Linked DNA regions of Mus musculus. The protein of the gene in region 1 interacts with the protein of each later gene in a biochemical or structural test. Links are inferred from orthologs where the notes say so. Each region holds a gene or a part of one and is shown on either strand. Other genes may lie near its edges.

Region 1 (3,820 bases):
CAACAACCCCACGATAAGATCGACAGTGACAGCCCAGAAATTCTTTCTCTTGCTCTCTCCACTTCCCCCCTCCTGGACCTCTCCTGAACCCCCCCCCCCATTGCTGTGTCCAGCCTCTCCAAGCTGCTAACCTGGCGTGAGTTCTGATTCTCGATGCGGGTGCTGACATCTGGATGGAGTGTGAAATCTGGGGCAAAGTACTCGAAGTATTCTTAGAGATGAGAAGCAATTGGGAGAGGGGATGAACAAGAGTATGGCTGAGACACCAGAGTGAATCCCATGGCTTTCTGATCTCCTCTCCGAGGCCTGGTCCCCATGTGTAAGAGTATTTGCTCTGCTCTGAGCACAGGGATTTAGTCTGCAGAGCTACCAGAAGGTGCAATTTCCCTCCAAACAAGGTCATTCTGAGGACTGGTGAGAATGGTGTCCCCCTGTGGTGGCATCATGAAGTGGATCTTACCACTATAGGGAAGTTCCTCACTAATGGCCTCTTCTACCAGCAGAGATGTTTCATATGTCCTGAAACCAGCAAGCAGAGGGGTTTGGGTTGATGGCGTGGGCTGAAAGGACCACCCCTCCAATTTTAGGGAGTCTGTCGTGAACCACAGAGTAGTAGAACAGAACACTCACCAACACCGGGCAACATTTCGGACAGTGTAGCCACCACCTCCCAGTACCAGGAGAGGGATATTGAAACTCTTGACATATTCAACACATTCCCTGTTAGAAACAAGAGGACTAGGTAAATCTAAGACATGTGACCCCAGACATGACTGGAAATATTGTACAAAGACTTGACCAACAATATTTCTCTGTCATATTGTGTAGTATAACTCAAAGTTGCATTCTTTGTGTGTGACTACTTGTATAAACGGGTTTGTCTTCACATGTGTGCCAGTGCATGTGTGTCTGAGGATGTGTGCATGTATGTTCACACATGTATACAAGGGCTAGAAGACATTTTCATGTGTTGGCCTAAAGATACTAGCCACCTTTTTTTTTTTAACCTGGCACTTGCCAAGTAGGCTAAGCTGGCTGGCTACCAAGCCCTATGAATCTTCTGGTCTCTGCTTCACCAGGGCTGGGATTACAGATCATAAATGGGTGCCACCGGGCCTAGTGTTTTTACATGAGTTCTGGGATCAAACTCAAGTCTTCATTCTGTATAGCAAGCACTTTTACTGAGTGTGCTAGTCACCCTGTCCCCACCTGGCTCTGAGCTATATGCTACACACACACACACACACACACACACACACACACACACACACACACACACAAACACACAAATGAACAAATAAAAATACTAGCGTACTTTACTGTGTTGTGTCTCAGTGAACATTTTAAAATAAAGCACACCCTCACGGCCTTGCTTACTACTCTCCGCCACACCTGGCCTGCTACCCAACTACTCCCATCGGTGTCGCCACCAGAATGTCTGTTCTAAGCTTCAGGACATACCTTCATACCTCGTACTTCTCTCCATCAACACATGCCCTGCCCAAATAATGTGATTGGCTTCCTAACTGGCTGCCCACTACCCACCCTGACCCCAACTCCCACACCAACCCTTTCTTCATTTAGCAGTCAGAACAGTAACTCTCAAACTCATTGGACCCTGTCACTTCCCTGTTTAAGATCCTTCAACGGTTTTCTATCACCCATGGAAGACAGGGTCTAATAGCTCTGCACACTCTCAGCCTGGCCAGCTTATAGCACCTGCCTATGTTCTGGCCTCATAGGCTGTACTGTCTCTTGTCAAGACAGTAATTCTTTTTTACTTCGGTCTTAGGGCTTTGCACTGGCCCTTCACACTGCTTGGAGTAGGATTCTCTGTTCTCCTTTTACGGCTCACTCCTTAGTCTCCAGGTCTCCCATTTCACCTTCTCAGAAAACCTTTCCCAAAGCATGCTGTCTACTATACATTCCCAAGCCAGGTGTGGTGACCTGAGCTTGTAATCCCAGAATTTCAGAGGCTCAAGCAGGAGGGTCACAAGTTCAAAGCCAGCCTATGCCACACAGTGAGCCCTTAAATAAAACTGTACCATTAAAAAGTAGATTCCCTGTTGTTACCCTGTCTTATTTTTTCCCTCATTAGATTTTTGATTGTATGTATGTGTATCATATACACATATATATGCAATAATTAATAATAATAACAACAACAAATTACAACTTTAAATAACAACAAGAAGGAAGGCAACGCACCCATGTCCTCGAATGCTGAGATTGAAGCAGCCTAATCGATCACAGCCCAGGGAGTCAGCGCCACACTGCAAAAAGGAAAATCCCAAATGGCTACAGTAGCACGAATGCTCAGAACATCAGTGTCCTCTAGCGTCCTTCCTCACCAACTTAGGGAGCTTACGCTTCCTGATCTCCTTCCTGTAGCCCAGGCAAGTCCTCTTAGGGAGGTGCTAAGGGAGTTACCTGGAGCACGATGCACGTCGGCTGGTAGAAGTCCACCACCTGGCTGATGACTGGCTGGAAAAGGTGCTTGTAACCTGGGAGAGGGCCAAAGGTGGGCAACCTGGCACCCCAAGGGGATGGGGAGACAGGGAACAAAAGGAAAAAGGGGGTTGAGAGAGCATGTAGCCCAGGAAAGGGGCGACCCACAGAACCAACCACTGGTTCTGAACTTCTGGAGGGTGTTACAACTGCCAAGTTAAACACTAGCAACCTTCCTCCCAGAAGAATAAATGAACAAAACGTATACACACATAATATATGTCATACAAATTCCAAGGGTTCATGGTCCCTCTGAAGGCCATTCGTCCTTAAGGAAACCTGGCCCAACAATAGACAATACCAGGCAGAAGAGGTTAATTGAAAGAGAAGAAAAGGGGAGACGAGTGAGCAGAGAGAAGTCATCAGAACTTACTCTGGTCATCAATGCCATCTCGTAAGGGCACATTGAGACAATAGTAGCGGCCACTCTCTGCTCCAACTTCATACATGTCACCTACAGAAAAGAGAGCGCAGTGACCGTGCACAGGAAGTTCCCTCAACACAGCCGTTCCTCTGTGCCTTCTACCACCAAGGCTCCAGCAACCTGCATTCACTCAATACAGGGTCACAGCTATGTAACTCAGGATGGCCAGGAACTTGTTGCATTACCCAGGTTAGCTTTGAACTCTTAATTCGCCTGTCTCGGCCATCTGATTATTGGTATTATAGGTATGTACCTCCTTGTCTGGTTCAAAAAATTTTACTTAGCCGGGCATGGTGGCTCATGCCTTTAATCCCAGCACTCAAGAGGCAGAAGCCAGCCTGGTCTGTAGCAATAGACAAAGAATGAACATAAAAACTAGAATAAATACAACTAGCAGTGAGGACTCTAAGAAAAAGAGAAGGTGAGGTACCTGTTTGACTTAATGGAGTGGTCAGAAAGGTTTCTCTGCAGAAAGGACATAATACTTAAGACCAGAAGGCTAAGGAGTCAGTCATGGCAGAGAGCTGAAGGACAGCCAGGGGCAATGGCACATCCCTGGTCTCCCTAATTCAGCATGCTGATTATGGAGGATTCTGTACAGACACACACACACACACACACACACACACACACACACACACACACACACAAAGAGCTAAGGGGTACAAAAAAAAAACAAAAAACAAAAAACCACAGTAATTCTATTCCCTACCTGTTCCAGGAAAGAAGTAATTTCCGTATTTGTGGAAGGACACAGTCATGACCCGGTCAGTGAGGTAGAAGGCTTCCTGAACCCCGTCACCATGGTGGATGTCGATATCAATGTAGAGCACCCGAGGGTGGTACCTGGTGTGAGGACAGAGCCATGTTCTGAGGAAGAGGCTTATC
Region 2 (3,820 bases), on another chromosome or scaffold:
CAAACAGTCATATGACATAAAGAAATTAAAGATACCCTGAAAGCTACGTGCGACTCGCTCAGCAGCGGCCCCTCCTTCTCCACGAAGCTTGGCTCTCCAGCGATTAGATGCGGGCTTCCCTCCATGCCCTCTTCTGGGCTCTGGCAGGCGGAGCTTTCGCCGGGAGTCAGTGCTTTTGCAAGAGTGTCAAATGCCCTGTGAGGAGGCAGCAGAAGCTGTAAGCTTGGCCAATCTCCAACAATAACATGAAATTCTTATGCAAAATTCCAGAGTTGAGATTTAAGTCAAGGGACTGTGGGAATAGCACAAGGGTAGGCTGTCTAGCACGCATTAGGCCCTGGGTTTAGTACCAAGGACTACAGAGAGGGAAGTTTAAGCCTAAAAATTCTTTGGCAAATAGGGAAGGGTTATGGCTCAAAGGTAGAAGGCTTGTGTAGTTCACAGGAGGCCCTGGAACCCACCTCCAGTGTCACTGTCTGAGAGAGGTGTGCACACACAAAACAAGAAAACAACTAAGCATGCTTCAGAAAACAGCTGTCTTGTATGACAGACAGACTGCTGGATTGCACTGACCTTTGGCACTGTTTCAAAAATCAACAAGTTAAACTCAGTAAGTGTACTTTGGATTATTGCATACTACCGTACTACCAAGAAATCACAATCTCTTCAAGTCTGAGAGAAATCCTCACACTTATCCCTACATATACAAATCATCTATGCCAGACTTCAGCACTAATTTTACATTCAGGGCTCGTGAAACTCAGAATGGAATGTGTTGGCCATGTTGTACTAACAGCAGATTTTCAGTTAAACCTTACACTGTCTTACCTTTTTCAAGTCTTATAGCAATACTGTTTTCAGAAACTTTTATAGATTTAATGCAAAGGCATTTTGGTCAACTAAAATAAGACTTGGAAGATGAGACCACACGGATCCTACCTTGAAACATCCCCATTGGTCTGAATATCATGATGAAAAGCACCGAAGGATGTATCCCCATTGCGTAAGCTCTGCACCACAGGCATATCCCCACCGCAGTGAGAAAGGTCTTTAGCTTTGCCGAGATTCGCTAATGATGTGACCACACTGGCCAATGTGCTTAAGTCTCCCTGACACGATTCAGCCTTTAAGAAAAGAAGAAAGCACTAAAAATTTGCAAGGTGGGACAGATATGCTTTAAAACCTTAAGTATCAAATTCTAGATCATGAAATACTAAAAGAAAAGCATATTAGCAAATTAAATTGATGAATACAGCAGCTTGTTTCTGTAATCCCCAAAACTCACAAGGCTGAGGCAGAAGGATTGCCACAAATTCAAGGCCAGCGTGGGTTACATAGTGAATTCCAGACTTTGCTGGACTATAGAGTAAGAGCCTGCCCTGAGAAAGAGAAAGAGGGAGAGAGAGGGAGAGAGAGAGGGAGGGAGGGAGGGAGGGAGGGAGGGAGGGAGGGAGGGAGGGAGGGAGGGAGAAACTAACTGACTCTTGAAGAAAATACAGGCTTTAAAATAGATACAAGTTCTTAAAAAATTGTATAAAAGTTTAAAAGAAAAATTATACTACTATACTTACTAGCTATTCTAAGTCATAGTTGCTTTCTCTATAAAAAGATATTAAATTAGGTAAAAATTCAAATTCTTTTTAGCATTATTATTAAAATGACCAAATTTTCTTTATGATTAAAACAATTTTAATTTTATGTGTATGGGTGTTTTGACTGCATGTATGTCTGTTCACCACATGAAGCCTGGTGCCCTCAGAGGTCAACAGAGGGCACTGGATCCCCTGGAACTGGAGTTATGGATGGTTGCACGCTGTCATGTGGGTGCTGGGAACTGAACATGGGTCTTTCACAGAGCAGTGAAACCTCTTAACCTTATAGCTGTCTCATCTCTCCAGGACCAAAGATTTAGTTTTATTTCTTACAAAATGTGTATTTACCGGTGTCTATGTGTGGTAATATTCATGACTGCTGGTGCTTGAGGCCAGCAAATAGCACTGAATCCGCAGGAGGTGGAGTTCATCATGAGCCGCCTCTGGCAAAGGCTAGGAAATGAGTTCTGATCCTCTGTAAGAGCCGTCTCTGCTCCTACCCACTGGGCCATCTTCCTAGCCATCTTCCTAGCCCCTCAAAACGTCTTACCGAACAATCTGGTCTGGTATCTAAATGCATCATCGGCTGCCCCATTTTGTCAGTGGCGGTCTGTCTACCATACTCCAGCTAAAGTCGCTGCACGGGAAGAGCAGGGCCACTCTTCCTTTTCCTTCCTTTCAGCTCCCAATCTTAAAGGCAAGGAGCTGACACACGGCAACTTCTCAATGTGATACGTGAGGTTTTGGAAATATTTCCAATTCAAAGGTTTTAATATACCAAATGCTTCAGTTTATTAAATTCCTTTGGTGCCAGGCACACGCATCAGTGCTTTAAGGGCTTAGCATTACACTTTTGGGTGCTGGGATTGAACCAAGAACCTCATGTTGTACAACATATATCCTTCCACTGAATGATGGTCACCTCAGTACTGTGGGGCTGAGTGCTGCAGAGCCAGAGCCGAGTGCAGGGAGAAGAACGTCTTCCCACAAGCACCCTCACATCTTCTCAGGGCCAGCGAGACTGCTCGGAGTCAAAGCACTTGCCACTAACAATGGGGACTTGAGTTTAAGGCCCAAATCCCACATGATGGAAAGGGAGCACCCTCATGATGGAAAGGGAGCACTGACCCCAGAAAGCTATCCTCTGACCTTCATGTATGTTGTGGTGAATACACAAACACACACACACACACAGAGTAAATACAAATAGATGTAAAAATAATCTCTTTAGGGAATATTTTCTTCTTCTCATACAGTTTTTGAAGACTATAGAAAATTTCCACATTTTATCTAAATAAAGAAAGCTTTTTGATCTGGGGAGATGGCTTAGTGGGCAACAGTGGCTGCTGTGTAACACAAAGGTCTGAGTTCAGATCCCCAGGACACACACACACACACACACACACACACACACACACACAATCACGTGTGTTCTGTAATCGTGACACTTGGGGGAGACAAAGATGAAGGACTGCTGGGACTCACTGGCTGCTAACCCAATGGGACATCTGACTCTGGGTTCGGAAAGACTCTGTGTCAAGGGAATAAGGCGGACAGCAATAAACAGCAGTACATACCCTTTGGCCTTAAAGAACATGAGGGTCCCCACACAAGCGCGCGCGCGCGCGCGTGTGTGTGTGTGTGTGTGTGTGTGTGTGTGTGTGTGTGTACGCGCACGTGCATGTCTTTTCTTTAGACCCTGTGACAAATGAAGATCTGCTCCAGTCTTAAGGGACTCTAGATAACTTGGGTTGTGTAATCTGAAAGCACAGGCAATCTCGTCCTACTCTGATCCCCCCAGCTCCCCGCATCCACAGCATGCTCAGGAAGGTTGGTGGCTGTCTATAATCCTGACGCTCAAATGAATGTTTTGATTAGTACACCAAGAGTTTCTTTTTTTTTTTAAAAGATGTATGTATGTATGTATATATGTATGTATGTATGTATGTATGTATGTATATATATGTATGTATGTATGTATGTATGTATGTATGTATACAGCATTCTGCCTGCATATATGCCTGCAGGCCAGAAGAGGGCATCTCATTATAGATCATTGTAAGCCACCATGTGGATGCTGGGAATTGAACTTAGGACTTCAGGAAGAGCAGCCAGTGCTTATAACTTCTGAGCCATCTCTCCAGCCTCCAGGAGTTTTACTTGGAGCTATCTTAAGTACTGGCACAAATAAATCTAGCAGGGAAAAATAAGAGGAATAGAGGTAGGAA

Evidence for each region.
Region 2: the proteins of Hdac3 (region 1) and Nr2c1 form a complex in vitro, tested with the Homo sapiens proteins (4 studies listed by BioGRID). The link is inferred for Mus musculus from reciprocal best matches to the Homo sapiens genes HDAC3 and NR2C1.

The regions. Positions count from the first base shown.
Region 1 is NC_000084.6:37,941,248-37,945,067, forward strand, and holds part of Hdac3 (histone deacetylase 3), read right to left. Parts: intron 3,779-3,820; coding exon 3,645-3,778; intron 2,963-3,644; coding exon 2,882-2,962; intron 2,531-2,881; exon of another isoform or gene 2,505-2,530; coding exon 2,431-2,504; intron 2,274-2,430; coding exon 2,209-2,273; intron 721-2,208; coding exon 631-720; intron 520-630; coding exon 461-519; intron 212-460; coding exon 132-211; intron 1-131. UniProt on the Homo sapiens protein: Histone deacetylase that catalyzes the deacetylation of lysine residues on the N-terminal part of the core histones (H2A, H2B, H3 and H4), and some other non-histone substrates.
Region 2 is NC_000076.6:94,168,353-94,172,172, reverse strand, and holds part of Nr2c1 (nuclear receptor subfamily 2 group C member 1), read right to left. Parts: intron 1,125-3,820; coding exon 940-1,124; intron 196-939; coding exon 36-195; intron 1-35. UniProt on the Homo sapiens protein: Orphan nuclear receptor. Binds the IR7 element in the promoter of its own gene in an autoregulatory negative feedback mechanism. Primarily repressor of a broad range of genes.